Xenopus tropicalis: one gene and its partners. The protein of the gene in region 1 interacts with the protein of each later gene in a pairwise test. Links are inferred from orthologs where the notes say so. Each region holds a gene or a part of one and is shown in the gene's direction. Other genes may lie near its edges.

Region 1 (10,750 bases):
CTCTCTTCACTCTTCTGTAATGATGTCTTTCTTCTCTTTTTATGCCTTCCATTACCTGGCTACCAAATTCTTCACAACCTTACATAATATTATAATTCTTTATAATCCCAATCCCTGCGTTGATGTATATCTTTCTTTACCCACATAAATTCTATTTCATTCTCCTCTTCTTTCTTTCCATATCCATTCTACTTTTCCCTTTTTCTCCTGTTTGTCTCCCTTTGCAGAGTGAACCTCGTGTTCGTCTTGTTTTGGCTCAGCAAATACTGCAGGACATACAGAGGATACTGGATCGTTTGGAGGTAAGAAAAACCTTTTGTAGCTTTATGCAAGTGTATGTGGACTGCTGGTTCTATAACCTTTTTGTGTATTTCAGGGACAACCAGTTAATGAGCAGACTGCAGAACCGATGGACACAGCAGTGTCTGAAGGAGAGGCCAGCAGTAGAGAAACCTTGCCTCAGACTACACAGAATACAGATGGGCAGTCGAATACAGCCCCTACCAGGTGAAACTGTAATTCCACCCCCCCCACCCCTTTTTTATCTCCTTTTCTAAAACAACAGCTTATAATAATTCTTTTGCTTTAGTCATCCTTCACCATCAGAATATGTTGAGGTCCTGCAGTCTTTGTCACGGGTTGAGGAACGTCTAGCCCCTTTCATGCAACGTTACCGGGAAATCCTTAGTAGTGCTACCTCTGATGCCTATGAGAATGTAAGTTGCCTGATGTGTAAAAGATTCACGTGTTAAACATTTCATACTTACAGAATGTCTATTAATTGATTGTTTAAAAAGCAACTTATTAAGATTAATTTGATGATTTATGTAGATAATAAGGAACATTATTCATGGCTGTTTGAGTTGATGCTTGTGAGAAAAAGGCACAGATAAGTAAAGAGATATTTGCATTTTTTAAGGGTCAGTAGCTGGACTATATTTGGCAAATCACATATTTGTATGCATTGGTATAGGCTTTTATAGGTGAAATTTGTGAATAGGTTCTGGTTTTGTGATAGTATGATGGGCTGTTCTGGATATGGAGGAATAACATGGTCTGTGAACTATAAGAGGATACTATGAATGTGTGAGAATGCAGATAGGTGTATTGGGTTTTTGGTTAAAAATTCAGTTGTACTGAAACAATATATTTGCTGAATTGTAGCCAGCACTGACTATATGAAATGGTAGAGAGAGTACTGCCTAAACATCTGTGCATGTAATGGCACCTTGAGGGACCTATGATATTCTTGCATCACAGTCGTATGATTCTCTTGCATTGCAGGTCTGTTAAGTTTAATCTGTCAATGCCTTATGTTATTGTGTGGATGGTTCATGGGTAGATGAGGGCCTAGCCTCTTTTTATTCCTCTCAGATATACTTGTTTGATTTGTCAGCCCAAGCGAATGGAACAATGCCATTTGACTGCCCTTAAGGATAAACAGTTCACACAATATTTGACCCATTTGCCCACTGGATTTGATATATGGATGGACAATCCTAAAATCATCCTGTGTTTTGCCTTATAATTGACACAAGTTAATCTTTGGCAATTTTAAAACAAATATAAACTATGCTGAATAAGCATGTGCACACTTGCTCAAAATCATTATCTCTGCTCTACCCCATGTTTAGAATAGACACAAAACATATATATGTGTGGTTTTATATACATAGATATTTTCCAAGCTATTGTAGTAGCGATAGTACAGATAGCAAAACAATAAGGTTTAGTCTGAGCTAAATCTTTACAATTATGTTAGTCCTTTTTTATTCTGTGAATTCATTGACTTCAGGCATCTCGAACAAAGTGTTACCAGGAGCTTGGCATAGAGTCAGCAAGAGATTAGGCTTTATTACTGCCAAATATTTATACAGCACAAGCATATTCCAGAAGGCTGTACAGTCTTTGATGCTAAGGCCAGGTGATACATGGCTAGGCTAGATCTTTTGTGTCACATTCTCTGTCTGCTGGATTGAATCCATTAATTTAAAATGTAAAAGATTTTATGAATTGTACCATTATTCTATTTCTAAATATTGCTTCCCTTGCTTTAAACCCTAGCAGGAAGAAAGGGAGCAGTCCCAGCGGATAATTAATTTAGTTGGAGAATCTCTTCGTCTCCTGGGAAATGCCCTGGTTGCTGTATCCGACTTGCGCTGCAATCTCTCTTCTGCTTCTCCTAGACACTTGCATGTTGTTCGCCCTATGTCCCATTACACTGGGCCCATGCTACTACAGCAAGCTGCTATACCAATACAGGTACTGTGCTTCAAAAGAACACTTTGTTAAAGTTATTATTAGTATACGTTTCCTATACTTTGCCCCATTTTCTTTTACAGTTTCATTGGCTTTTATTCCTGTCTTTTGCCACTGTTCTGTGTTATCCCTCCTTTCCTTGTTTCGCAGCTTTGCCCTTCCTGCCTTTGTTTCACACTATAATATGTGTCTTAGATTAATGTTGGTACTACAGTCACTATGACTGGGAATGGAACCCATGCTGGTCAGATGCCTTCAGATGGGAATGCTGCTCATACTCCTACCAATACTTCAGAACCTCAGCGATCTAACTCTGACAACCAACCTCCATCCAGTGGAGAGAGACCAGCTTCTGAGATCCCTCCCACTTCAGTTCCACATCCCCACCCTCGTGTTGTACGGATTACGCACCAGACTGTTGAGCCTGTCATGATGATGCATATGAACATTCAGGGTAGGTGTTCTGTAATTTATATATAACTGTCATTGAAGTAGAACTAAAGCTTAATTAGGGTTCTGTACCAGCCCAAGGCAACCACAGTCTTTTAGCAGGGACAATCTGTGCCTCCAAAGATGCCCCAGTAGCTCCCCATCTTCACTTCTGCCGATTCACTGCACATGCTCTGTGCTGCTGTCACTTACTGAGTTTAGGGGCCGATACACAATATACTGTATATATAGAATATAAATGTCACAAAATAAGGCTAATTAGTAAATAATACAATGTATTAGTACACAGCAGCTCTGAAATCCATGCAATTAGCATCAGAATGTTGTAATCAGCCTGTTGTAACAGCTTTAATCACAGGCAAACCTAATTTTCTGTTTGATAATTTGCAATGACCCCTAAGCTTAGCTTCTCAACAGCTGCTCAGAGCACACTTAGCATGTGCAGTGTCACTCCACAAAATCCAAGATGTGGAGCAACTGTGACAACTGTGAAGGCCTAGATCATTGCAGCTATGGAGATGCTGAAACTTAAGGCTTGTGCAGTATGTCCACAATAGAAAATATGGCATTTCTATCCATATTTAATTTTTTTAAAAAAATTTTGTTCCCCTTTAATATCACTCATGCTCTTCCATATATAGTCTTTGTGACCTAAATCAGTGCCCCTAATATTGCAAATTTTGATTTCCTTTTATTAACTGCTTCATCCTCCTTTGTTTGTGTCATGCTCCAATATCTTTGTTGCTGTGGAACTCACTGTTTATTCCACGTTTGCACATGTTGTTCATGAAATACATTTTTGAAGCAATAATAACATATCAATTCTCTTCTAAGATTCTGGACCTGGTGGCCCTACAAACATTCCCCCACCAACTGCGGGGCATGGTAAGTCACAAGATAATATATAATAACATTATACAGCACCTGATCTGGGAACTAGCATATATATTGTAGTGTGACCCACTGTGACCTACAGCACCTGTATTTGCCTATTTATGTCTGTAAGTTACTGTAAGCTCTACGGGGACCTCCATCCTCTTGTCTCTTTGACTCTTAACTTATTGCAACTGTACATTGTATTTATTGTTATACTTTGTATTTATCTATTATTATTTTAATAACCCCCTGTTTGTATTAATCTATTCTACTGTACAGTGCTGCCTACATAAGTAGTTTTTAGAAATAAAGATATACATACATACATACATTATATATTAAAATCCTGTAACAACTGTTATATTGAAATGCATTTATGTTGTGGAATTTTGTAATAGATCACTAATAGGATATAATTTGCCATCTATTGTGTAGGGGGAAGTGCACACATTCATATGCCAGGATTACCCCCTGAGTTCATGCAGGCAATTTCTCACCAGATTACACAGCAAGCTGTGGCTGCAGCTTCAGGTAAGTGCATTATGCTATTTGGTATCCCTATATACCACTGATGGAATTAAAGCAGGGATAATAGAGTTCACTACTGTACCATATCCCACAAGGAATAAAAGAAATAACAGATTCCTGTAAATATAGATAGAGACCTCAGAAGCTTTACAATCTTCATGTATTTTTTATAGGGCAGCAAATTCCTGGCTTCCAAGCTCCACCACGCTTTGTTTTTACTAGGCCTGCTGCCCCTTCATTTCCACCCCAGCCTGGGGTAGCAACTACCCCACCAGGACCTGGAGGGGCAACTACTGCTGTACCTGGGGAAACGGTAAGAAAGTTTCTGTTTTATATTTGAGATTACACCTCTACATAATATTCATTTTTATGTCTTGGCAAGCTTTCTCCTCATTTTTCATAGTGTTTCTATGATCTATTAACTAACTTTTCAGCTGCCTAACAATCAGTTTTTTTCTAATAGGTGACAGTCTTATTCCTATTCTCAGAATACATTTAGTGTCATAGTGACATTAGGGGCTGATTTACTAAAATTCATTTTTTCTGGCCTTCAAGGTCATAGTATAAATTTGAATTAAAGGAGAAGGAAAGGCTAATAAAGAGTTAATCTCAAGCTGCAGGCATACCTTCAGCTCTCTCAGTAGTGCCCTTAAGTCTCGCCAAACTTCACCTGTTCAGAAGATCTGAAGCCAAACAGGAAAAAAAAACGCTGAGCTGGGTAGAGAAGATTCCCGTAATGCATCGCTCCTTCCCAGACTTGGCGACTTGTTACTGCAGGCGGCGCATACGCACACAGCAGGAGCGTCTGGTTGCCATGGTGACGCAGCGACGGTGAACTCTGTGACATGCAGGTGGGGGGAGCGGGGAGGCAGGTGCAGGGAGCGGCGGAGGGTTTGTGGCAGGAGCGGGGAGCGGCGGGGAAGGGGGGTGGGTGAGTATATCTCTTCCTTATATGGCAGATGCGAGTAGCTGCCGAGCCACTGGGCGGCAGGGGTGTGTGTGTGCTGCCGGCAGAGGATGATCTGTGACATGCTGTGAGGAAGGGGGGGGGGGACACTCTGTGACATGCTGGACAAGATGGCGGCGCCGTTCACTGAAACAAGTATGTAAGTTCTAGTAAGTGTATCTCTGTAAATCTTTCATTAGGCAAGCCAGAAATATAGTGTTTTTACACAGCAATAGTAGTACTATTTAATAGGGTGCTTAATAGATTTTGACTTTCCTTCTCCTTTAAACTCAATCACTGTACGAAAATTTTGAATTTACTTTTTGGAGCCAAAAGTATTGTTAAAACTTGAAAAATGTAAAAGTTTAAATGGACGTTTGTTTTTTCCAAACAAGAATTGCTCCAGCAGACATTTTAGGAGTATTCTTGGAAAACAATGTGTTTGTTTCACTTGAAACTGGGTGAAATAGATATCATTGATAGGATTAATTTCCCCTTGAAAATGTGTAAAATAGAAAAACAATGATGGTATTGATTTCCCCTTGAAACTATGTGAAGTAGAAAACAGTGAGTTGATTAACTTCCCTTGAAAATGTGTGAAATGGAAAACAGTAATGGGACTAACTTCCCCTTGAAAGTGTGTGAAATAGAAAACAAGGATGGGATTAATGTCCCCTTGAAATTGGGTGAAATTGAAAACAATCATAGGATTAATTTCCCCTTGAATCTGGGTGAGATAGAAAACAACGAGGTGCTTAACTTCCTGTTAAAAATGTGTGAAGGACAGGCCGTCACTTACTATTCTATTCCTCTACTATTCTAAGCCTTCATAGGACTCAATTGTACTTAACAGATCAAACCTGACGATTTTTTTTTTTGACAAAAAAAAGGTTAAATAAATGTTAATGAATAATAGATTATGGGAGTTATTTTCTGAAAATTTTGAGAAACAATATCGGAAAAATCGGGTACCAGCGAAAACCCATTAGAAAATGTTAAAAATATCTAGAAGTAAAAAAAAATATCAACCTTTTCTGAAAATTGCTTTGTAAATGTGCCCCGCAGTGTCATCCTTAACATGTAAAACTATTTTCTTTGCTCATCCAGCTTTCGCCTCTTGTCTAAACAAAGTCCAACCTATTCTATAGTGATTAATAGAGTATAGGGCTATTATCACACACAGAGAACATTTAAACTATAATTAACACACATGGTGCACCCTAATTTCCTGATGTTACTGGTCATTTGAGATCATTTCTGGTTGGCTGCAACCCATCACCCACTTTACCCTGTATTTATTGGCACTCTCTTTTCTTAAGATTTTAATTTGACATTGTAACCTGTAGCTTTCTTTCTCCTACATCTGTCTCCAGGTGGGTCCAGCAGGAAATGCCTCCTTGGCTCAGATGATCAGCGGTCTTGTTGGACAGCTTCTGATGCACCCAGTTATTGTTGGTGAGAAGGCCAATGTTATGTCTTGTTTCCTGACCTAATTTCTATCTGCCTGCTTCTCCTTTCTTGTTTTTTTTCTCTCTTTTAACATAAGGTTTTGTAAAAGACATTGTGTATTTGCAGATATTGCAATAATACTGAAATAGAACTAATTTGGACACTTTTGGTTGGGAGATTCTCATTCCCTATTTTTAAAAGATATTAGTTTATGTATAAGCCTGTACAGGTAATTAATACTGGGTAGGCCGGGTTTAAGTAACTGAACACTAAATTAATAATTGTCTATGCTGATTCTATAACAAGCTGTCTATGTGTAAGTGGTTATTTTACTGCATTGGTCATTTTTATAGTCAGGACAAGCTGAGGTTAGAGAATCAAGACTGAAGTAAATGCTGAGTGCCTTTCATTTGTTTACTAATGATTGTTTTTTGTTTATTTTTCTCTCTTGCTGATTTGTCAGTTATTCTTCTCTTTTCACAGCTCAGGGTGGCAGCAACACCCCCTCTTCTACGTCAACCCCAACTTCTACATCCTCCTCCAGCTCCTCTTCATCCTCCACTGTCACTACCTCTACAACAACCACCTCTTCCACATCCTTCCCCACTGTTTCATCAGGTCCCTCTCCCCAGCCCCCACCTGGCACTGATCAACACCTCTCTCAGCTCCTGGGCTCTTTACTGGGAACTGCCGGCTCAGGGATGTCAAACTTCGCTATGGGTTCGCCGAGTATTACTGTTACCGTGCCTGGAATGCCGGCCTTTTTACAGGGTGTCACAGATATATTACAGGTACCTATTGTGGTGTTCAGTGTGCATGTGCAATGCAGTTGCATACGTATGCTTTTCCAGTCCTTAAAGGAACAGTAACACAAAAATATTTAAATACGTTATAAGTCACAAAACATCTCTAACATTTTTGTATATTTAGTAAATAATGGTCATACAGCCAGCTTTGTTAATTACATTGTAGATACAAATTACGCATTTCTCTGTGGGGAAGCTGGTGTCAGTGGTTTGTAGGCTAGTTTTTAAAATGTTTTGGAAATGCCTTGGTGGTAAATAAAATGGAACTTGTATTTAGAATTAGAAAGAGGTAGCTAACCTCACCAGTGAGTTGTGATGCTTGTGTTTGCCTTCCTGTAAAGCAAGACTATAATAATGTTTGTCCTCAACTGTCTGTTTTTTCTGCTGTCTTTGTTTTTGGTGTTTTGTTAAAAAAGCAAAAAAATAAGACTTTGGAATACAGAGATGTGTAGATACCACAAGGCAGTAAAATAGGAATAGGTTATACAAGGGAAAATACAATGAGTTTCTATCAGTAAACACAATCTAACTTTATCCTTCTCTTTTTGATTTCTTAGGCTACACAGACTGTTCCTGTTTCTACTTCTCCTCCCCAGTCTGCTTCTCAGGCTCCTCCTCCTTCATCACCCTCACCACCTCCTGCCCATTCCTCTCCCCCTCCAGCTGCCGCACCAGAGTCTCTTCCTCCAGAGTTTTTCACTAGTGTTGTTCAGGGTGTCCTTTCATCCATGCTGGGGTCTTTGAGTGCAGCTGATCAGAGTGGAACAGAAAGCATTGCAGCTTTCATTCAGAGGCTCAGTGGCTCCCACAACATTTTCCAGCCTGATGCAGAGGGACCTGGTGGTAGGAAACTTCCCTATGGCATTTTCCTTTTGCCCCTTTCTCGTTTTGTATATGTCTTTTTTTCTTTCTCTACACCCCTTCAATTGTTTCTTCCATTTACTCCAGCTTTTTTCTTTTTAGAATTCTTTCTCTAAAATTTGGCCTTTAACTTGTTTCCTGCCTCATTTGTTCCAGGATTTTTTGGTGACTTACTCACCTTGATTTGTCACAATTTCTCCCTGGTCGATATGGTAATGTTACTGCATGGTCATTCCCAGCCTTTGCAGAATCTGCAGCCTCAACTGAGATCCTTCTTTCTTCAGGAGTATCTACACCAGGCAGATCCCACACCTAATAACATCCAGGTATGTCACTATGTGTTCCTTTCTGCAGCTATAATGTGGGTGTGTATCTCACTTGGGGAGTAAAATGCTGATCCTTTATTCCTTTGAGTATGATCTCTGCACAGAAGTTAGATTCTTTCTTAGCACCCAGTGATAATGCTAACTTTTAATATATATTATCTTATATCCCATAAGCAAGACATCTTTTTTCTGCCTCTTTCAGATGGCATCAAGAAATCTTACTAATGGCCTGGAAGAGTACATAAGAGAAAGCTTTGTAAGAATTTTTTTGTCCTTTATATTTTACACTGACTGTTTTAGTGGTTATATCGCTAATCTTGTCCCCGTGTCATGTCTACCAGGCCTCCGTTACTGTGCGTGATGATGTTGATATCACAAGAACAAACCTTGAATTTCTACAGGATCAGTTCAACAGGATCACAACACACATCCTACATTGTGCAGGTATCTATGTGGAAAAGGATCCACATTTAAAGTCTTGCTCTAAACCTTTATTTGGTTACTTGGGAACTGTCTATCTCCCTTCATATAAAACAGATGATGCACTCAGCAACTATAAACAATGGTATCGTGAGGCCTCAACCAGAGCCCATATGCCAGCAAATTTGTTGTCCCTCATATATAGTAACTTACTAAGGTCCACTGAAATAAAGTTTTTTGTTTTTTTTTTTATATTCTTTTTTTTCATTTTTCAAATATTTACAAAGAAAAAGGATAACATACAAAGTGGGAAAAGAGGGGGTAGGGGTATCAATGGTCTGTTACAGTTATCACAGTTTGTATAGTTACGTCATTGCGTGTTTTTTTTTTTTTTTTTTTAATAATTTACTGTACTTGAGACCATATACAGTAGAGGGTAGTTATTTGTTTTCTGTTATGTTTTACCCTAAGAGAAAGGGGGGTAAAAGTTGGGTAGAGCAGAGCAATGCAGTGATAACTTGTACCTGTACTTTTGGTATAGTCTTATGTTCTGGCAGAGGTATGTGTATTATATTGTGTTGTGGCATACCAGGATATTGATTTTGCTCATATTTTTACAGGGTTTCCAAGGGCTTAGACCTGGGTCTGGATTGGGTTGCTGGTTGTTTGGTTGTAATTGACCATATTCTGGAGATTCTTTGTATAGAATCCAAGTTGTCCAGACTTTAGTGAAGTTTTCACGTGATTTGGTGGTATGTGCTAACATTTCTTCCATTCTCATAATATGGTTGAGCTCAATCGCCCAGTCTCCAATCGTTGGGGGTTTGGTATTCTTCCAGAGTCTGGGTATAACTGTTCTAGCTGCCGTTAATGAAAAGGCAAGGAGACCCTTTTGCTTAATAGAAATTTGTTTGTTGGTAGGGGGTTTAGAGAGTAGTGCTAGGGCTGGGTCGGGTTGGAGGTCAAGGCATAGCACTTTAGAGATGGTTTGGAATACATGGGTCCAGAATGGTTGTAGGTTGGGACAGTCCCACCATATATGTTTCATATCACCTCGCTGAATATTGCATCGCCAACACTTGTCTGATACGTTTGGGAACATGGTGTGTAAAGTGGCCGGGCATTTGTACCATCTAGATATGATTTTGTAGTTTGTTTTTTGGGTTTTTTTTTTTTTTAGTCGACTGTCTTTTAGCTTTTTAGTTGTGCTTTTATGGTGAACATTATTTTGTTTTCTTGTTGCATGACTCTCAGGAACTATATAGTGATAGCACTGTTTCTGAAGACCTGCCATAATCTGGTCATTTAATTGTAAAGAGGTGGGGCTGCAAGCAGGCTTCAAACCTGATTATGGTTAGTGTAGATTAGTCTGTGTGTTACAGTTGTGAGTAGTAACTAAACTCCATACAGGAACATAAGTTTTTTTTTTTTTTTTTTTTTTTTTTAGAATTCTAGTTTATTAATGCCTTTTCCCTGCAGATTCCACATTCGGACAGCGGCTTCTTGAGATGTGTAACCAGTCTCTCTTTGAATGGCTTGCTCTCAACCTGTATTGCCTCCGAGGGGACCAGAGTGCTCTCACATCTGTCATTAATGAGAGAATTGTACGTTTTTGTGTTTTGTCTTGCTTCCTATGTTTCTTCCCATGTCTTCAGGGTCTGCATTATATTTCCAATGTGTGTTTTGTTTTTACAGCGAAGACTCTCTCTAGATGTTTCACCTGTGCTTGTCTCGTGGGTGACGTCTGTCCTGTCCCTCCGTCTTCAAGTGCTCTTGGGGCAGATGCCTGTGACTGAGGGCGAGATACAGAGACATATACGGAGAGTGGG
Region 2 (10,750 bases), on another chromosome or scaffold:
TTGTCAGGAATGTCCAATAAGAATGAGATGTATGCAAATTTTGTTTCTGTAACTTACTGGTTTTTCAGTACATGTAAAAAGATCTTCTAAAAACTATTGACAACTACTCTTTCCTATCCTGATACTGTTCCAAAGCATCTTAAAACATGTACAAACTCAACTTATGTTAGTAAGCAGTCTATTAGTTGCCACATTAAAGCACTCTGTGTCTTTTACAGTTTATTTAAAACTTTCTCACTGCCTTCAGAATTAAAGGGAACATGAACCCACTTAATTTACATTAGTATATTTGCTAGAAGTGTGTTATTCTGAGCAGGCCCAGATTTGTGGCAAGGCCCAGGCCTAGGGTGGCAGAGGCGAGTGAGGAGACGGGAGCCGAGGGGCGGCCGCATTGTGAATCTGGCCCTGATTCTGAGGTTACAAATGACTCTACATAAGGTTGGGAGCTAGAAATGACCCTACATAAGGTTGAGTAGCAATGCACCTTTGACACAAGTTCATAATTTGCACCTGTTTATTTTTGTTTGATGTACAAAAAAAAAAAAAAAATTGCCAGGACAACAAATCTATGGTAAATGAAAAGTGCCTTTAACTGGAGGAGAACATTTCTGGCTCGCTGTGTTAAGATAATTGTGCAGGATAACAAAAAAACTAATTTGGGGTAGATCACCTTTAATTAAGATTTAGTATGATTTATAGTTGGCAGTGATATTCAACAATTTTCAAGTGGTCTTGAGTTTCTAGGTCAAGGGTCCAATTAACCAGGCAGTAGTTTGAATGAGAGACTGGAAGATAAATAGGAGAAATACTAAAAGTAACAATAACATTGCAGCCTCATAGAACATTCAGTTGTTGGCTGCCCCTCATTTGAAAGGCAGAAGGAGGGAAAGGAGGATAGAAAATAATCAAAAAATGTTAGCCCCGTATACATGAAGTGATTTCTGAGACCCCAGACTCTCTTACTAAAAGTAGGTTTCCTGAAGGCTGGAAAAGATTTCAGCATTGTAGAAATTAAATGAATTCATAAATAGTTTGCATTGCTGAATGTGTATCATTTGCTCCACCTAGTGGTAAACATGAGAATGACACTGGAGCAAGAGAAACCCTGTTTCGTTATTATGCGACTTGGGTAGAATATGCAACAGTACATTGAGTAGTAGGAGAAACAATAGCTTATCTGAAAGCAGAACTATTGTGTAGTGCTTGGTATTTCTGAAAGCTCAGGGCAAAATGCCTACACACCAATATTACAGGTAAAAAAATAAATTTTGCCTATTAACTCGTGATATCAGTTTTTAAGTTTAGCGCAGTTTGCTTCATTGCACCATCCCTACGTCACTTCCTCCTGTTGCTTTCTTCTGACGCATTGTGCAGGACTGTGTATATTGTTGTCCTAGAAAAAATAGGGCTACAATAAGATTGGAGAGTGTGAATAGGCGGGCGGGGCTAACTGTCAAGATTATCGTATGCAAAGGAAAAAAAAAAAAAGGAAGACTCTGCAGCAGTGCAGGCAAATGCACATGCACTGGACCCAGAAATTCACTGTTAAAGAAGCAAAGGAAGCTTCACTGGAAATTAACAGGTTGCCAGGTTGTAGGACGGACTGTGGCTGATTTATAGGCAAACAAAGCAACCCAGAGCTGAGCTGGGGCATTATGTTACTAATATGAATATGTCTGTAATTTTGAAGCAATTTTGTTTTTCCTTCTCCTTTAATAGTTAGCGAACTATTGAGTATAAGAGTGCATAGATATATTACCAGTGATGAACAGCAGATACAAACTTGAAGGAATACTGCCATGGGAAAACATGTTTTTTCAAAACACATCAGTCAGTAGAGCTTCTCCAGCACAATCCTGCCTTGAAATCTGTTTTTCAAAAACATTTTTTTTATATATTATTTTGAAATTTTACATGGGGCTAGTCATATTCTTCATTTCCCAGGGTGCCACAGTAATGTGACCTGTGCTCTGATAAACTTCAGTCACACTTTACTGCTGAGCTGCAAGTTGAAGTGATATCATCCCCCTCCCAGCAGCTGATCAGCAGAAAAATGGGCAGGTAGCAAGGTAGCAGCTCCCAGTAGATATCAGAATAGCATGCAATAGTAAGAAATCCAAGTTTGGCGTGGGACTCCTCCAGCTACATGGAAATAGGAGAAACAATAGGTTACCTGAAAGCAGTTCTAATGTGTAGCGCTGGCTCCTTCTGAAAGCTCAGACTCAGGTACAAGGCACTGAGATGGCTGCCTACACACCAATATTACAACTATAAAAAATACATTTGTTGGTTCAAGAATAACATTTTAAATGGTAGAGTGGATTAGTTGTTATGTAAACAGTGTAATTTAGAAATAAAAAGTATGCCATAAAAATCATGACAGTATCCCTTTAAGTAGAGAAGGTTCATAGAGGAAAAATCTCTTCCATGAATTTTAGTAGTTCCTTCCAAAACCTGTCAATACCTGGGTGCTACCACAATACATAAAACAAGGTACCCCTTTTAGAAAGACATTTGGGGCAGAATAAAAGCTTGTACATATGATTCAATGCATCATTTAATTAAACATAATTATAGGTTATTCCTAAGGATGTACCTATTTGTTTGTTTTCATACACGAGTTGGAGTTATCATGGTTACGGAAACCATATGAAGAAATGTAATTGGCACAAATAAAGTATACTGGCAGCCCTGTCCCACATAAAATAGCAAATATGCAGCTAATTATTATTTTTTGCATGGAAAAAAATCATCAATACAACTTACTGCCATGTTAAGGGCTCATTACACTAATGAATTTGTGGGTCAGATTTTTGTAAGATGTCCAGTTTTTTTTTGTGTAAACTTGGACTGGAATGGGAGACACCCTTATTATTGTATTTGCATGCAGAATTTTCCTTTGCTTCCTATATCCTATTATATACAAAAGGCAAATAATTTTTTTTTTTTACATGGTTAGGGATTAATACCCAAAGCAGCTCTTTTTCTTGAGAGTCTGTTTCATTATAGTCTGGGGACAAGATTTCCTTACATAAGTAACCATGGCAGCTCCCATATAATGTACAGTGCGAATGTTAATCAACAGCTATCCCTGTTCTACTTTAAGATGCTGTAAGAATATATAAATATATTGATGGTTCATTTTGTTATATGGCTTCCTAATTTGTTTCTTAGTTAATAAGTTGGGCAAGTAGGTTACAAACCACTGTTAATGCTTCTTACCTATCCCCTATTTTCTCAATACATAAAAAGGGGTGCAGAGTAGGAGCAACATTTTGAATCTGTGTAGACTGCTTTAACTAATGGTTTCCCTTCTTTTCCTCTGAACAGGGGTGTCCTGCATTCCAACCCCATGGATTATGCATGGGGTGCAAATGGCCTAGATACAATAATCACACAAGTAAGCAACATTTTCAACATATCTTACCTGCAGCTATTAAATGCAATCCATAAATCAAATTTTGTAATGCGTGCAAAGCCCATAATACACATATTTTGGGATAAATGGCACTGGTGCAAACATATATAATACAGGGGTATCAAATATACCCTTTTAAGGCTGCCAAATTGTTGATGCTTCAATAAAGTTGCTCATTAATGAAGTCACTATAGTGCAGCAGTTTTTATGTGTATGTCTGTTAATTACCTACATTCCATTACTCTATCCATTATTTTATACTTATAGTCACACCAACATGAATCCTTGTCTCTGGTTTTTTTCTGCCTCCAGTTACTTAATCAGTTTGAAAACACAGGCCCTCCCCCTGCGGACACTGAAAAAATACAAGCCCTTCCTACCATCCAGATAACAGAAGAGCATGTGGGTAAGTGGGAAACTTACTGCCGTCCTGCACAGGGACAGCCATGACAATAATCCAGCAAAACTGGAATCAAATGTATCCCAGAAAAAGTATGATATAGCATTGAAATAAAAGATTAATGAAGCAACAGTGTACCTTTACTAATAGGTCCTAAGCTCTAGTTAGCTTAAACTAATAGCGCTGGTCATTTTCTGCTTAGGAATCGTTATATTTCCCATTCCTTCAGGACTGGAATTCAAAATAGACCCTGGCATTCCAAGTACATAGAGGCCCATATAGCCATCCAGAGGCCCAATAAATAGTGACTGTCTATGGCATTTTACAGAAGCCCTTTTGGCATTTGCCAGAATCGACAGATTGCCAATCCGGCCCTGCTTTCAATGTATCCCTGTGGAAAAGTGTGTTCTCAGCTAGTCTGTCATTGTATAGCTGCAGGTCTTGAAGGGTAAATAGTAAATGAAGGTTGTTTCTCTGTAATGAATACCAGACTTATTTTCTCCTGCCTCCTTGCCTGACATTTTAATCTAATCTTAGCATTCTCTGCTACTAGGTTCTGGTCTGGAGTGTCCCGTGTGTAAAGAGGATTATACTGTTGGTGAAAGTGTGCGGCAACTTCCTTGCAATCATTTATTTCACAATGACTGCATCATCCCTTGGTTAGAACAGGTCAGTATGGTGACATTACTAACCATTTACATTTTTTTTTTTTAAGGTTTTTATTTTGCATTATACAAATAAAAAAAAAAATGAAATAGAACAGATAAACAAAGTTGGCACTTACATCATAATTAAGTACAGTCGTTTATATCATATACTTATTGACCATTTTAAGATTAAGAAGCAGTGTGTCAGAGTACACAAAGGGGCAGATTTACTAATTCACGAACGCTCAAAGGGGTATATTTATCATGCTGTGTAAAAAGTGGAGTAAAACATCACCGGTGATGTTGCTGATAGCAGCCAATCAGATGCTTTGCTTTCATTTTCTAACTGCTGAAATCTTGCTGATTGGTTGCCCTGGGCAACATCACCGGTAATGCTTCACTCCACTTTTTACACAGCATGATAAATATACCTCTAAGCGTATTTTCGGCGACTTTTTCATCGCTTGCGTGACTTTTTCATACTTTTGTGCAAAAAAATCGGAAAGGTTTTCCCGCTTTTTTTTTTCCCGATTTTTTCGTAAGCATATTCGTGATATTTGCGATCTTCAGAAATTATCATATCCAATCCGAATTTGTCCCATTCGGGATTCGAACTCGCGGTTTCATGAATGTGCCCCGAAGTGTTATGTGGGTTGGGCGTTGTATGTCAATTTGATCAGTGGCAATGTACCATTTATTAGCTCCACCCATTGTTGAAGTGTGGGAAGGATGGGGCCCACTTTATTATTACTATCTTTTTTGCATAAAAGATGAGAGAGCGTAACAATGTTCTAGATTTTTGAAGAGGCACTAATTTGTCTACAATTCCAAACAAGCAGACCTCAGGAGACCTGATGCCAGGGAGAAGTAGGCATTCATTTATATAGTGGATGACTTCTGTCCAATATGTTAATACTTTAGGACAGTGCTTTCCAACTGGCGGCTCGCGGCCTCCCACCTGTCTGGCTCCTTTGATGGCTTTCCTTTGTGTAAACTTTAAATGGTATCAGTACTGAGATTATCTGGCCCCCTGCATGGTTCTCACCTCAGATTTAGGCTGTATTCCCCCTGTATTGTTTAAATAGATTATGGCACACACAGGCAGCTAAGGACAGGCAGAGTATGGCACGGACAGGCAGAGTATGGCACACACAGGCAGCATAGGGCAGGCAGAGTATGGCACACACAGGCAGCATAGGGCAGGCAGAGTATGGCACACACAGGCAGCATAGGGCAGGCAGAGTATGGCACACACAGACAGCATAGGGCAGGCAGAGTATGGCACACACAGGCAGCTTAGGGCAGGCAGAGTATGGCACACACAGGCAGCATAGGGCAGGCAGAGTATGGCACACACAGGCAGCATAGGGCAGGCAGAGTATGGCACACACAGGCAGCATAGGGCAGGCAGAGTATGGCACACACAGGCAGCATAGGGCAGGCAGAGTATGGCACACACAGGCAGCATAGGGCAGGCAGATTATGGCACACACAGGCAGCATAGGGCAGGCAGAGTATGGCGCACACACAGGCAGCATAGGGCAGGCAGAGTATGGCACACACACAGGCAGCATAGGGCAGGCAGAGTATGGCACACAGCCAGCATAGGGCAGGCAGAGTATGGCACACACAGGCAGCATAGGGCAGGCAGAGTATGGCGCACACACAGGGAACATAGGGCAGGCAGAGTATGGCGCACACACAGGGAACATAGGGCAGGCAGAGTATGGCACACACAGGCAGCATAGGGCAGGCAGAGTATGGCACACACAGGCAGCATAGGGCAGGCAGAGTATGGCACACACAGGGAACATAGGGCAGGCAGAGTATGGCACACACAGGCATCATAGGGCAGGCAGAGTATGGCACACACAGGCAGCATAGTACAAGCAGAGTATGGCACACACAGGCAGCATAGGGCAGGCAGAGTATGGCACACACAGGCAGCATAGGGCAGGCAGAGTATGGCACACACAGGCAGCATAGGGCAGGTAGATTATGACACACGCAGGCAGCATAGGGCAGGCAGAGTTTGGCACACATAGGCAGCATAGGACAGGCAGAGTATGGCACACACAGGCAGCATAGGGCAGGCATTAAATGGTCCCTAAGGTGTGTAATTATGTGCTGGGGGTTGCTGTGCTATCCACAGGTGAGGAGGAGGCATATGGATTTAAGGGTGTGTCTTAACATGACATAATATAATCCTTTTATATATGAATAACGGTTGATATCCCTGCAGTGAGGACAAAGCATTTGGGTTTTTGCTGCACTACCACCATTGTGATAAAACGGGTGTGGTTTGAAGTGGGTGTGGTTTAAAAAAGGGGAGTGGTCAAAACTGGCTTCCATTAGCGGCCCTCCACCATGTATGCTAGAGAAATTCCGGCCCTCTGCACCGCAGAAGTTGGACAGCACTGCTTTAGGACAATCCCAGATCAGGTGGAGAAAATCTACCTCTACTATATTACATTTCAAACATTTAGATCTTTCTACTTTCCCCATAACCTTAAGTTTCAGAGGGGTAATGTATATTTGGTGAATCATCTTAAAATGGTTCATTCTATCCCTTAGTGATATTAAAAAATATATAGATTATCAATAGTTTCTTCCCATTGATCCTCATCTAAAAATGGAACTATTGCCAGCCATTTACGTTTTGCCTTATCAAATTGAGCTGGGTCTGAAGACTGAATTATGCTATACAATTGGGATACTAGTTTGGTTGGGTCTGGAGCCCAAAGTCTAGCTTCCCATGCCAGTAGTGTAGTTGAAAGTTGTTAGGTCCTGAATTGGGAAATACATGTCTCAGCTGGAAATAATGAAAGAATTGAATATCTGTGTGAGGCTAGGCCTGTTATACCCACAATCTTAGGAGTTATACTCCATTTTAAAATATAACTCCTTTTTGTAATTGTTGTGTGCAAGGCTTGACACCCTATAATGGTTGTTTTTCCTCAAGAATGATCCTTAAGCAGCTTGCATATTTTGTATCTTATCGCTGACACATCCCGTACTGGCCAGCCTTGAAGTACAGAAGATCTTTGTTTAAACTTATTATTTTGCTTTTGCATGTACACAAAGGGTATAAAAGCTATGTGCACACAAAAATAAACTGAACAAGTTTGAACTGCCCCCATGGTTGTGTACTTCTTGTTCCCATGCACAACTTTGTCCTGGCAGGAGGGCTCCCGCAGGTCCCTACACTTAGGGGTATATTTAACATGCTGTGTAAAAAGTGGAGTAAAACATTACCGGTGATAATGCTAATAGCAGCCAATTGGATGCTTTGCTTTGGTTGAAATCTGTTGAACTCTAATTGCTGATTGGTTGCCCTGGGCAATATCACCGGTAATGCTTCACTCCACTTTTTACACAGTATGATAAATATACCCCTTAGAGTGAGTGGTCAGGAACCCAACAATCTGGACGGTTGATTTTGGCCTTAAGTTGTTCTAGTGACATAAAACAATTCTCAGTCAGTAAATCATCAAGGTGCCTGATTCCTAACTGCGGCCAATATTGGAAATCAGTTAAGTGTCTCATATGTGGCAGGTTGGAATCTCTCTATAGGGGCGAGGGGTACAGGCCTTGATTTGTAGCTTCGCCCAGATTTTAATATGGGTGGTAAATACTTTGGGCAAAGGAGGGAGATCATTCTTTCATCTAAATGGCGAGTTACGTATGGCCCACAATTGCTGCATGCAGTACGGTCAGGGAGTTACTGTGGTCTGGGTTAAACCAGTTATGTATGTAGGATAATTGGGATGCAAAATAGCAGTAAGCATGAGCCATGATATTCTTGGGGCTTTGTTGGCCCAAATGGGATTAGTTCATTAGTTTTTTAAAGAACTAATTAGTTACAGTGGAGGAAATAATTATTTGACCCCTCACTGATTTTGTAAGTTTGTCCAATGACAAAGAAATAAAGTCTCAGAACAGTATCATTTCAATGGTAGGTTTATTTTAACAGTGGCAGATAGCACATCAAAAGGAAAATCGAAAAAATAACTTTAAATAAAAGATAGCAACTGATTTGCTTTCATTGAGTGAAATAAGTTTTTGAACCCCTACCAACCATTAAGAGTTCTGGCTCCCACAGAGTGGTTAGACACTTCTACTCAATTAGTCGACCTCATTAAGGACACCTGTCTTAACTAGTCACCTGTATAAAAGACACCTGTCCACAGAATCAATCAATCAAGCAGACTCCAAACTCTCCAACATGGGAAAGACCAAAGAGCTGTCCAAAACCATTAGCAAGAAGCTGGGAGAGAAGGTGACAACTGTTGGTGCGATTGTTCGAAAATGAAAGGAGCACAAAATGACCATCAATCGACCTGGGGCTCCACGCAAGATCTCACCTCGTGGGGTGTCAATGATTCTGAGAAAGGTGAAAAAGCATCCTAGAACTACACGGGAGGAGTTAGTTAATGACCTCAAATTAGCAGGGACCACAGTCACCAAGAAAACCATTGGAAACACATTACACCGCAATGGATTAAAATCCTGCAGGGCTTGCAAGGTCCCCCTGCTCAAGAAGGCACATGTGCAGGCCCGTCTGAAGTTTGCCAATGAACACCTGAATGATTCTGTGAGTGACTGGGAGAAGGTGCTGTGGTCTGATGAGACCAAAATAGAGCTCTTTGGCATTAACTCAACTCGCTGTGTTTGGAGGAAGAAAAATGCTGCCTATGACCCCCAAAACACCGTCCCCACCGTCAAGCATGGGGGTGGAAACATTTTGCTTTGGGGGTGTTTTTCTGCTAAGGGCACAGGACAACTTATTCGCATTAACGGGAAAATGGACGGAGCCATGTATCATGAAATCCTGAACGACAACCTCCTTCCCTCTGCCAGGAAACTGAAAATGGGTCGTGGATGGGTGTTCCAGCACAACAATGACCCAAAACATACAGCAAAGGCAACAAAGTAGTGGCTCAAGAAGAAGCACATTAAGGTCATGGAGTGGCCTAGTCAGTCTCCGGACCTTAATCCAATAGAAAACTTATGGAGGGAGCTCAAGCTCAGAGTTGCACAGAGACAGCCTCGAAACCTTAGTGATTTAGAGATGATCTGCAAAGAGGAGTGGACCAACATTCCTCCTAAAATGTGCGCAAACTTGGTCATCAATTACAAGAAACGTTTGACCTCTGTGCTTGCAAACAAGGTTTTTTCCACTAAGTATTAAGTCTTTTTTTGTTAGAGGGTTCAAAAACTTATTTCACTGAATGAAATGCAAATCAGTTGCTATCTTTTATTTAAAGTTATTTTTTCGATCTTCCTTTTGATGTGCTATCTGCCACTGTTAAAATAAACCTACCATTGAAATGATACTGTTCTGAGACTTCATTTCTTTGTCATTGGACAAACTTACAAAATCAGTGAGGGGTCAAATAATTATTTCCTCCACTGTATATACTGGAGAGTTCCACAGTGGATATAGAAATTTAGGCAAATATAACATTTTAAAGAGATTCATTCTTCCCAATGCGTAAGCGGTAGTTAATTCCAGTGGAGAATTACAGATTTGAACTTTGCTCAGATGGGCTTTAAATTCTCATTTACATACATTGACTGTAACTATAATACCAAGGTAGCAGAATCTAGATGTTTAAGTAAGGGAGTGTTTTCTCCTGTGGCTTGACTCCCAGATGGGAATAGTATGGCTTTAGTTTTATTTATCCAAAGGCCGCTTAGCTCCCCAAATTTCTCAAGTGTCCCTAGTGTAGTTTGTAGTGAGGGCCCCGCATCTGCCAGGAAGAGTAGCACATCATATGAATATAGTGCTACTTTCTTCTCTGCGTTACCAATCATGATTTCTTTGACTATGGGAGTCTTATTTTTGCTGCTAGAGGCTCAATGGCCAATGCAAATAAGAGGGGTTCCTCTCTCGAACTCAAATTCCTCAGAAAGTGTATTATTAACCCACATTTGTGCTACAGGTTTCATATATAACAGTTTGACCCATGAGATAATCTTAGAACCACATCCTAGTTTCTCAAACACCTGCCACAGATATTGGCAGTTGAATCTAATGCCTTAGTTAGTTCTAGTGAGGCCACTATCCCGGCAGATTGATGTTGGTATGCCAGTTGGATATGTGTGTATATTCATCTGAGGTTAATGGAAATGGTCTTATGTGGCATAAAGTCTGTCTAGTCATGGTGAATTAAAGATGTGATTACTTTCATTTGTCTGTTCGCCAGCACTTTTGTGAGTATTTTTGCATCAGTATTGATCAGAAAAATAGGTCTATAGGATTCACATGAGTATGGGTCTTAA
Region 3 (10,750 bases), on another chromosome or scaffold:
ATACAGGTACATTTCATTTTGAAAATAAATAACAATTACATTTTCATTCATAGATTTTAAAACATAGGTAAAAAGAAAATTGTGCCATGTACAAAAGTTTGGACACCCCTCTACTACTTAACTCATTAGGCCTTAATAGCCATTTGGAGTTGTCACCAAGTTACCATTGCAGAGCTTATTAAAATCCTTTAAACTTTGGATTACTCTCTAAGCAGAGTCAGAATCTGAAATCTGCCTGATAAAACTGTAATTTATAAACCACATCCAAATAAAAGCATAAATGTTATCGGTATAGCTCTGTCCTGCCAGAATACAAGCTCAACTTGTGAAAAGATCCAGTGTACATGAGCAACAGGACAGTGCAGTTTGAAGGCAGCTCTTGCTTGATATCATGTAATTTGTCCATACAAACTGTGTGTGTGTGTGACCAATATCTTTAACCTGGCATCAGCTTGTGGCTGCTATGCCCTGATACAGTGACGCTAACTGACAAAGTAATCGCTAGTCTAACTTGTTTGAAACTTGTTGAAAAAAGACCAGAGTCCATCAAGTTCAACCCATCCAAGTAAACCCAGCACACACAACCCACACCTCCATAAAAGGCGACTAAATTAGTCTGGCAAGATCTGTTAAGCATAAAACCATGCTGGCACAAACTTATAGTATTGTGAACTGCAATGTATTCAAGTACCCTATCCCTTATTACCCCTTCCAAAAGTTTTCCTACTACTGATGTTAGACAAACAGGCCTATAGTTTTCAGGCTGAGAACGGGATCCCTTTTTAAATAACGGCACCACATTAGCAATTCGCCAGTCTCTCCGCACCATGCCAGACCTCAACGAATCCTGAAAAATTAAAGGAACAGTAACATCAAAAAATTAAAGTGTTTTAAAGTAATTAAAATATAATGTGCTGTTGCTCTGCAAAAAACTGGTGTTTTTGCTACAGAAAAGCTACTATATAAATAAGCTACTGTGTAGCCATGGGGGCAGCCATTAAAGCTGGAAAAAAGGAGAAAAGGCACAGGTTACATAGCAGATAACTAGTAGATAAGCCCCATATAATGGGGGTTTATCTGTTATCTGCTAAGTAACCTGTGCCTTTTCTCCTTTGAATGGCTGCCCCCATGGCTACACAGCAGCTTACTTATATAAACTATAGTAATCTTTCTGAGGCAAACACACCAGTTGTATCAATGCAGGGCAACAGTACATTATATTGTCATTACTTTTATACACTTTCATTTTTTGGTGTTACTGTTCCTTTAAGTGAAGAGGCTTGGCAATCGCAGCGCTCCGGTCATTTAATACCCCTGGGATGAATCCCATCTGGTCCTGGACCTTTGTTTACCTTTACATGTTCAAGTCTCTGTTGAATTTCCTCCCGAGTGACCCATGCGTCAGTAGCTTAATTACTAGAACTGGGCATATTAAAAGGGAAGCCTTCATTAGCTGGCTCCTCAGATGTATAGACAGATGAAAAATAAGAGTTCAAAATTTCTGCTTTTTCCCCGTTCTCATCAACCAACTTACCCCTCCGTGATAATAAGGTTCCCACCCCTTCTTGCTTCATTTTATTACTATTCACATAATTAAAAAATAATTTTGGATTCTTTTTACTCATATCCCTTTCCATCTCTATTTTAGCTTGCCTGATAGCTTTTTTTGCATGCTTTATTTGCTTCCTTGTACCTGATGAAAGTTTCTGCTGTCCCAGCTAACTTGAATGCTTTAAAAGCACGTTTTTTTCTTACCAACCTCGAATACTTTTATTCAGCCATAAAGGTTTTACTTTGCAATGCCTCTTCTTGCTTACAAGGGGAATATACTGTTGTGTATACCTGCAAAGCAATGTTTTAAAGATGTTCCATTTTGCTTCTGTATCTAACCCTATGAAAAGCCTTTCCCAGTTGACACATTGCAGAGATGCCCTTATACTGGCAAAGTCTGCACGTCTAAAATCGAGCGTTTTAATTACTCCCTTTATAGTCTCTGCAGCATTAACTCAAAGCAAGACCATGTTGTGATCACTGTTCCCCAAATGCTCACCCACACAAATGTTAGAGACGAGTTCAGTATTATTAGATATTACCAGGTCCAAAATAGAGTCATTCCTAGTAGGTTCTTGAACCGCCTGAAATAAAGTTGTCATTTAGCGTATTTACAAACCTACTAGCTTTTTCTGACTTGGCCACCCCATTACTCCAGTCAATGTCTGGATAATTAAAGTCCCCCATAATAACAACAACTTGACCCAGTTGTGAAGCCTGGGTCTCATCCCCCTCATCTATACGGGGTGGTTTATGGCATATACCAATGATCATTTTCTTTGTGACCTTCAGCCCTACTGAAATTTCTACCCAAAGAGATTCAACATTTCATTGGTAATGTCTTTATTACATGGCTTTATATCTGACAAACCCCTCCACCCTTTTTAATCTCTCTGTCCCTCCTAAAAAGTGTATAACCATTTAAATTCACAGCCCAGTCGCATTTATCATCCCACCAGGTCTCAGGTGATACCAATTAAATCATAATTTTCAATACATGCAATAGCTTGCAGCTCCCCAAATTTACCCGACAAGCTTCGCGCATTAGCCAGCATGCAGCGGAGATTACTACTTCTCCCTCTGATGTTTACATTAGCTAAGGGAGAGTTGGAGCTAAGGCAAATATTAGACTGTTATCCTTGTAACTGAGGCTCCTTATCCGATAAACTATATGCCCCCCTCACTCCTCCCCCACAACCCTTTGCTAGTCCAACTGCCCCGTCTACACTAGCTTTCCTATAGAACTCTAGCTCACCCACCCATATTGTGGTTGTAGTTAAAAATTGCTTGGTTAAATTGCATTGGCAGGTTACAGCCAGACTAAGCAGAATTTGGTGCAAAATTAATGATGGAATAAACAACCTGTTAAATATTTGGGGTGGATCAATTATGCCAACGTTGTTTGATTTGAAAGGAAGGATGGTTTCCACTTAATATACTAGAATGTTATAATTTCTGAAATAAAGTTGCATAACCGTGCATTAAGATTTTGCATGTAAAAATAATTTAACAGAATTTTTAAAGGGTGACTCAAACGTTTGCATTCAAGTGTGTATCTGTATGTATGTGCAAAGTCAAAAATATATATGGAATATATGAGATGAGCTGAAACAATCAAGGGAAACTCTTAGATGCTTGTCACTAAGAGGAAATACTAATGGAAATCTGTATTATATATATATATATATATATATATATATATATATATAAATATATAAATATATAAATATATAAATATATAAATATATAAATATATAAATATATAAATATATAAATATATAAATATATAAATATAAATATAAATATATATATATATATATATATATATATATATATATATATATATATAAAGTTCAAAGTATCGGCACTCACCAACCAGGAACACCAATGTCCGGGTGCTAACCATAAAATAGTATAAAGTCTCGCAGAAAGCACTCCAGGAAAAAATAAAAAACAAAAAAGTTTATTTAGACCCAAATGTCTACGCGTTTCGATCCATGCCGGATATAAATATATAAATATATATATATATAATATAATATTATATATATATATATATATATATATATATATATATATATATATATATATATATATATATATATATATATATATATATATATATATATATAATATATATATATATATATATATATATATATATATATATATATATATATAATATTATATATAAATATATATAATATTATATATAAATATATATAATATTATATATAAATATATATAATATTATATATAAATATATATAATATTATATATAAATATATATAATATTATATATAAATATATATAATATTATATTTTATATTATATTTTTATATATATATATAAATATATATAATATTATATATAAATATATATAATATTATATATAAATATATATAATATTATATATAAATATATATAATATTATATTTTATATTATATTTTTATATATATATAAATATATATAATATTATATTTTATATTATATTTTTATATATATATATTATATTTTTCTATGATGGTTTTGTAGAGAAAACAAGTACATTCCACCAGTGCAGAGGAATAAAGATGCCATGTTATGGACAACTCACAGTGGGAGGCAAACTTCTGCAAGGATTGGACAGTCTGGATCAGGGCCCATTCCTTCAAGGACAGGATCCCATTCTTCTGACTACAGCCCCAATGCTGGAGCTGATCAGAGAGTCATAAATGGAGGCAAGTAATTCATTAGCTGATCAAGGTTTTTAAAAAATATTTTTTAGTACATTTACAAATGTACTGTTTAAGTAGTATACTGTTGAATGGTAAGTGTTTTTATTTAGGGTGGTAGCTATAACATGATTTGATATGCTATTTCCTTTTGATTTAAGAAATACATACACATGCTGGTCTTCCCTAGGAAGAAAGTGGCATTGAAAGTTAAACTAAAAGGGGAGAAAGTAATTGAAAAAGGGTCAATTTAAAGTAACCTTTTGTGTAAATTAATGTACATTTTATCTTAATTATGGTGCATAAACTGTGTGAAATATGAGTCTTTTTGTAGCATAAAATATCTTTTGCTTCTCTTAAGACGTGCGAGAAACCATTTCCCCTCTGTTGTATTTTACTTTTTTTCTGTTGACTTGTTCCCTACCCCTTCATCTCATTATTTTTTTTTTTACTTTCTTTTATTATTACTTTTCCTTCATCTCATTTGTTCTGTCAGGTGTTCCCTGGCCATCGCCTTGTCCATCTCCTTCTTCCCGCCCACCTTCTCGCTACCAGTCAGGTCCCAACTCTCTTCCACCTCGGGCAGCCACCCCTACAAGGCCGCCCTCCAGGCCCCCTTCGCGGCCATCCAGGCCCCCGTCTCACCCCTCTGCTCATGGTTCTCCAGCTCCTGTCTCTACTATGCCTAAACGCATGTCTTCAGAAGGTACAACACCTCTGTTTTATTTTTTTTATTTTTTTCCCCTTTGTATTGTCAGTTCCATCATGCCTACAGCATAGGGAAACCATGTCTTCCATCTATAAGATGAGAGCATGATAGGTCTAGATTCATGCTGTTGTGATGGGTAAATATCAAAACATTTATAATCCCATTTCATCTTCTCCTTTGGTTTTCTGTGGCTCTTTTTGACAACCCTTAATTTTTGAGCCAAAAATGGCTTTAAAACTAAAATGCAAAATGTAAGGCATGTTTCATCCAATTACCTTAAAGGGATACTGACTGAATTTTTATTTTTATTTATTTTTTTTAAATTAGAATTTTGCCGTAAAATTGTTTTCCTACTGCTTTTTCATTACTAATCAGATTCCCCTCCCTCCCACATTTCTGTATTAGGGGCTGCCATATTAATGCTCAGGAGTCCGTTAGCATTAGAAGCTATAACTGACAGGCTGAGAAGGGACAGTCAGGTTTAGGAACGTCAAGTAGCCATTAATTACAAAAGCAAATCTATCGGTGAAAAATGATCAAAATGACCCATAGGTAACTTTAAATGTACATTAATTTTTTGAAGTCTAGTTTTTTAGTGTCAGTATCACTTTAAAAAAAAAAAAAAAATAGCAGTACCTGGAATTTAAGAGGTTTTTTTTTTTTGTTTTTTTTTTAAAAGAAACCTTATCTGCAATTTGTTGTTGTTTGGTTTTTTTTATTAATTTTTCCTCCTGTTTAAGGCTTCCATTTGTTGTATTTTCCTTATAAATAAGCATGGTCCCAGACCATGCTTATTTATAAGGAAGAACATGATTTTGGGCTCATACACAAGAAAATGCCATAGGCAGCATATTTCTTGTTGAAGTGGCTGTTGGCAGCTACAGGCATTTGAAGTTGTGTGTTTTTTTTTTTTTTTTTTTTTTTTTTTTTGTTTTTCTTGAGGGGACAATCTTACAAATATGCAATTGGCCTAAATTGGTAAGAAATCCTCTATTTTTCTGTGGTGCTACACACAGAAAAGTGGATATCCTACAGTGGCCCAGTCCAAGCTCTGATGTCGAGCATCATCTGACTTACATGCACAGTCTGGTCCAAATTGCAAAGCTGTCCCAAAATATGACCTGACGGTCTGTACAGACGGCTGTATGTAGGTAATTTTTTTTTATTCTACCTGTAGTTATTAGAGAATTTTACTGACTTTGGACTTGCTTGCTGTAATCTCATCCCCCACCTTTTGTCTTTAGCATATGGCTAAATGGCTCCTATTTTAGTTATAGCTGTGTTTTGATTGTCATATATACATTCCTTGTCAATAAGCCTCACCTCCCATTTTGAAAAAACCTAATAAAAATTTATGAATAAAATATGGTTAAGCTTAGTAACTTAATGTAAGTCATATGACTTTAAGTTATTAAGCTTAACCATATTTTATTCATTCATTTTGTCTTGCTTTGAGTATACAGCATAACGAATCCTTCAAAAACTATGCAAAGCGCTCTCGGGAGGCCAGGGCCATTCACAAAAACAATAATGTAGGCGATTGGGAGGCATCATTTATTGACCCAGCCACCTACAGCTGCTGTGCTGTATTGCTTTGCCTTTAATTTCCCTGACAATTGCCTTTATAAATAGTTGCCAGGGCAATGCATAATATGCTATGTAGGTACTTGTTTGTGCACTTTTAAATTGTGCATAGTTCTATTAGATAACAGAGTTGCTTTAAAGGTGTCCTTCTTGTAAAAGGCAAAATGTTAAAATGTGGTTACTTAATACTTCAGGTCACAGATCACAATCTCAGTTTAAGATTTGTTCCTTAAAATTAGACTGACAGACTAAGGTGTATGTTTAATGCATATATATTATTACACCCAGCCCCACTTCTTCTTTTTTTTTTTTTTGCTTTTTAAACAAAACAAAAAATCTAACACTGTATAAACATTCTTATAAATAAGCAGCTGACTGCACTCCTTTCTCATATTAGTAGTCTGTCTGGACTGTGTATGGGCCCAAAACAATGTTATCAAGTGCAACTGATTAGTTGAGGACAGCTTTGGCCTATAGATAAAGTTTGCATCCAGTGGGACTGCACAGGTCCTCCCCCACCTCTATTCAGTCTGATTTGTCCATCCAGCATGGGCAGACTCGGTTCAGTTGGCAGCACTGTGAAGTAACAGCCAGTGTTCAGTGGCTAATGTCACTGGTGACTGGCACGTTTGGTCTAGAATAGTGGTAATTGTAGGGGGAATTCTGCAGGGTACTTTAAAGCCTTTTAATGTTTTGCATGTAAATCTTGTTTGCCTCCATTCCTGTAGAAGTTAGTGAACTGCAAGCAATAAAGAAATCTTTGATAATGTTGATGTCTGCAAAACTATATTAATTTGCTGCTATGATATTTACAATTGCTTGATTCATATGTATAGGTTTAAAGGCAACACTTTCTATGCTTAAACACTTGGTCTTTTCTTTGTACTAGGGATGCACCAAAACCAGAATTTGGTTCGGTATTCGGCCAGGGTTTGGTCCTTTTTGGCAGGGTTCAGCCGAATCCACGGTCCTGGGTGAACCGATTTGGAAGGTTTAAATGTTTGCGTTAACACGAAAGCAAAATATTTGCCCCCTCCGGGTTTGGTTCGGTATTCGCCTGAATCCCTTGGGTTGGATTCAGGGGTTCGGCTGAACCCAAAAAACTGGGTTCGGTGCACCTCTACTTTGTACCTTTTTTTTGAGAGTCTGATTAATTATTTTGTATTTTAGGACCTCCAAGAATGTCTCCTAAGGCACAACGGCATCCTCGTACCCACAGAGTTTCTAATGGTAGGGGCACAATCTGTGGAGGCTTAGAATTTGTTTCTCGCAATGAACCTGGAGAAGTGTCTGCACAACCCGTAGCTCGAAATAGTTCCTCTGGTGGAACGTGGTCTTCTGTTGTAAGCGGAGGCAAGTTTTAGAATTGTTCTTTTGTAAACTTTTACAGGCAATCTTTAAAAAAACAAAAAAAAAACTTATTATAAGAAGATGATTGTTAATGTTACCATATAAATCTTTGCTCAGCAAATACTTCAGCTCTGCGTGATCTTCGGGAGGATGGGAGACTCTAAGATTAAGTTTTGTAAACCAGCATCGAAAAAAGTATTATACCATAGCTGCCAGCAACAAGTTGAATCGTGAAGAAGGATTTGAACAATAAGGCTGCTATAAACACCAGTAATATTTTCCCCCAATATGGCTGCGCCAAAGAGAGGTGCCTCTGCGGCCTACCACTGTTTCAATCCCACAATTAAGACTATACAAATTTAGAGATCTGTGGAATACATAATTTTTTTTATTTTTTATTTTTTTTTAAATTTGACTAAATACTGAAATGAATCTTATCTTAATTAATGTATTCAAATCTGAGAAAAACATAAGTGAACCAAAAATTGTCGCATTGAATTATACAGGGCTTTTAATGCCATACTCTTCAGGTTTTTGAATTGGTTTGACTGAACACTAAGATTCTGAATCTTACAAAAAGTGCCAAAAGTACTGCAAATAATGAAATTGGAGCCTTATTTTTGTTCTTTCTTTAATATGAGCTTTTTTTTTAAGCTGTATTGAAAACAATGGTCTGTTCATTTAATTGATGTATGCGTAAAACACTGGAACATAAGACACTAATAGTGGTGGCTCTCTTTACATTTCCAGCAATTGGAACCATTTTGGATGCCCAGTTACTTGTTGTGCTTCCCATTCTTTGAGTTGCCCTTTATGATCGAAACATCTTGTGTTCTGTATCCATAAAGATGTCTGCCTCATGCTATGGATTTAAATGTCTGTAGTGTACCTTGTTTACCATTCTAGTCTTGTTATATTATAACTTATTGATATTACAGAACAGAAGATTAGCTTCTTAGCTGGTTGGCTAATCTCCTGTGTGGATATCTGAAATCTCCTGCACACTGATACTTACGCCCACACTGCATGTAGTATTTATAGATGTTTGTCACTTAGTTATGTTATATTAATATTTTTTTGTGTAAATGAGAAATATATATACATACATACATACATACATACATACATACATACATACATACATACATACATACATACATACATACATACATACATACATACATACATACATACATACATACATACATACATACATACATACATACATACATACATACATACATACATACATACATACATACATACATACATACATACATACATAATATTCCAAGGATTGTGCGCACTCCAATTCCAAATGTTAAACTTTATTCATGGATAATCGCATACGTTTCGGTCATGGTCTAAGACCTTGTTCACGATGTTATACCCTTAATATAAATTACATACAATAAAACTTTATATACAAGATTAATCCCACCCACTGGTCACATGTCAGCCAACCGGCCCCACCCCCCTCCCCAGACATTAACCATGTCATCAAAGGGGTGCGGGAAATCCGTATGAGGCACAATGACTACTAAACTTCCCTGCATAATACTACCTCAAGTCAATGAATGATATTAAATGATATTAAATTAGGGTGCTTTAGGTGCCAGACATGCATATCCTGCCGTTATGACACCTGGTGAGACTTTTACACACCCACACACGGGACAGAGATTTAAAATACGGCATCGGATTACGTGTACCACAACCCATGTAATTTACCTTGTCACATGCCCGTGTGGGCTTTCGTACGTTGGTACAGGTTGCTACTCCAACGTGAATCCTTTTGGATTAGAAAACTTGATACACTCACCAAGGGGGCTAAATGAGTATTGTTCTCTGCATTGTTTTTTGCCAGTTAGGTGACTTTAAGTGACTTGAGGTAGTATTATGCAGGGAAGTTTAGTAGTCATTGTGCCTCATACCTGTGTGAATAGGGATTTCCCGCACCCCTTTGATGACATGGTTAATGTCTGGGGAGGGGGGTGGGGCCGGTTGGCTGACATGTGACCAGTGGGTGGGATTAATCTTGTATATAAAGTTTTATTGTATGTAATTTATATTAAGGGTATAACATCGTGAACAAGGTCTTAGACCATGACCGAAACGTTGATGTAAAGTTTAACATTTGGAATTGGAGTGCGCACAATCCTTGGAATATTGTATACATGGAACAACCGTTTTGCAGCACCCAGAGAAACTATGTGAAATATGAGTGATATGGGAGTGCGGACTATTCTGTAAATTTTATATATATATATATATATATATATATATATATTTTTTTTTTTTTTTTTTTTCCTTTCTACAGTTCAAAGGTTATCTCCAAAGACACACCGGCCGAGGTCTCCAAGGCTAGGAAGTCATGCACCAGGTTCAAATGTGTCATCACCCCAGCCTAGTACAGTACCTCCCGAGTCGGTTTCTATGCCAGTGCCTGCCGCATCCCCTACACCTGCTAGCCCTGCATCTAACAGAGCCGTTACTCCCTCTTGTGAAGGTACATTGTTGACATTTTACTATTTTATTTCTAGAAATTAAACTTTCTTGTTTAAAAACTTTTCTTGAACCAATTCTGTAAAATCTTTTAGGGTCAGTAGAAGACTGAAATGATGATGGGTCTGTTAGCTTAAAGACTACTGTGGGCCACGCACGGGCAAAATAAATTTGTGAATGTTAGAGTTCGCCATTTGATAAATATGCCCCTAAGGGTGATGGCATATGGTAGAGATTTGTTGCCTGCAGTAGTGCAGATTTAACCTTGGGCGACAAATCTTAACCTTAGATTGCCACAAGTAACAGGCTTTTCTTGCAGCAATCTTGACTTAATCA

What was found.
Region 2: the proteins of bag6 (region 1) and rnf126 interact in binary tests that used the Homo sapiens proteins (3 or more experiments, as listed by UniProt). The link is inferred for Xenopus tropicalis from reciprocal best matches to the Homo sapiens genes BAG6 and RNF126.
Region 3: the proteins of bag6 (region 1) and atxn2 interact in binary tests that used the Homo sapiens proteins (3 or more experiments, as listed by UniProt). The link is inferred for Xenopus tropicalis from reciprocal best matches to the Homo sapiens genes BAG6 and ATXN2.

The regions. Positions count from the first base shown.
Region 1 is NC_030684.2:74,266,327-74,277,076, forward strand, and holds part of bag6 (large proline-rich protein bag6), read left to right. Parts: intron 1-227; coding exon 228-302; intron 303-376; coding exon 377-507; intron 508-589; coding exon 590-716; intron 717-2,064; coding exon 2,065-2,262; intron 2,263-2,454; coding exon 2,455-2,713; intron 2,714-3,543; coding exon 3,544-3,594; intron 3,595-4,020; coding exon 4,021-4,116; intron 4,117-4,286; coding exon 4,287-4,426; intron 4,427-6,432; coding exon 6,433-6,514; intron 6,515-6,991; coding exon 6,992-7,299; intron 7,300-7,871; coding exon 7,872-8,157; intron 8,158-8,331; coding exon 8,332-8,501; intron 8,502-8,703; coding exon 8,704-8,757; intron 8,758-8,842; coding exon 8,843-8,945; intron 8,946-10,400; coding exon 10,401-10,525; intron 10,526-10,616; coding exon 10,617-10,750. UniProt on the Homo sapiens protein: ATP-independent molecular chaperone preventing the aggregation of misfolded and hydrophobic patches-containing proteins.
Region 2 is NC_030677.2:105,797,975-105,808,724, reverse strand, and holds part of rnf126 (E3 ubiquitin-protein ligase RNF126), read left to right. Parts: intron 1-3,330; coding exon 3,331-3,400; intron 3,401-3,730; coding exon 3,731-3,824; intron 3,825-4,371; coding exon 4,372-4,487; intron 4,488-10,750. UniProt on the Homo sapiens protein: E3 ubiquitin-protein ligase that mediates ubiquitination oF target proteins. Depending on the associated E2 ligase, mediates 'Lys-27'-, 'Lys-29'-, 'Lys-48'- and/or 'Lys-63'-linked polyubiquitination of substrates.
Region 3 is NC_030677.2:163,117,146-163,127,895, forward strand, and holds part of atxn2 (ataxin-2), read left to right. Parts: intron 1-4,087; coding exon 4,088-4,272; intron 4,273-4,762; coding exon 4,763-4,972; intron 4,973-7,729; coding exon 7,730-7,912; intron 7,913-10,229; coding exon 10,230-10,418; intron 10,419-10,750. UniProt on the Homo sapiens protein: Involved in EGFR trafficking, acting as negative regulator of endocytic EGFR internalization at the plasma membrane.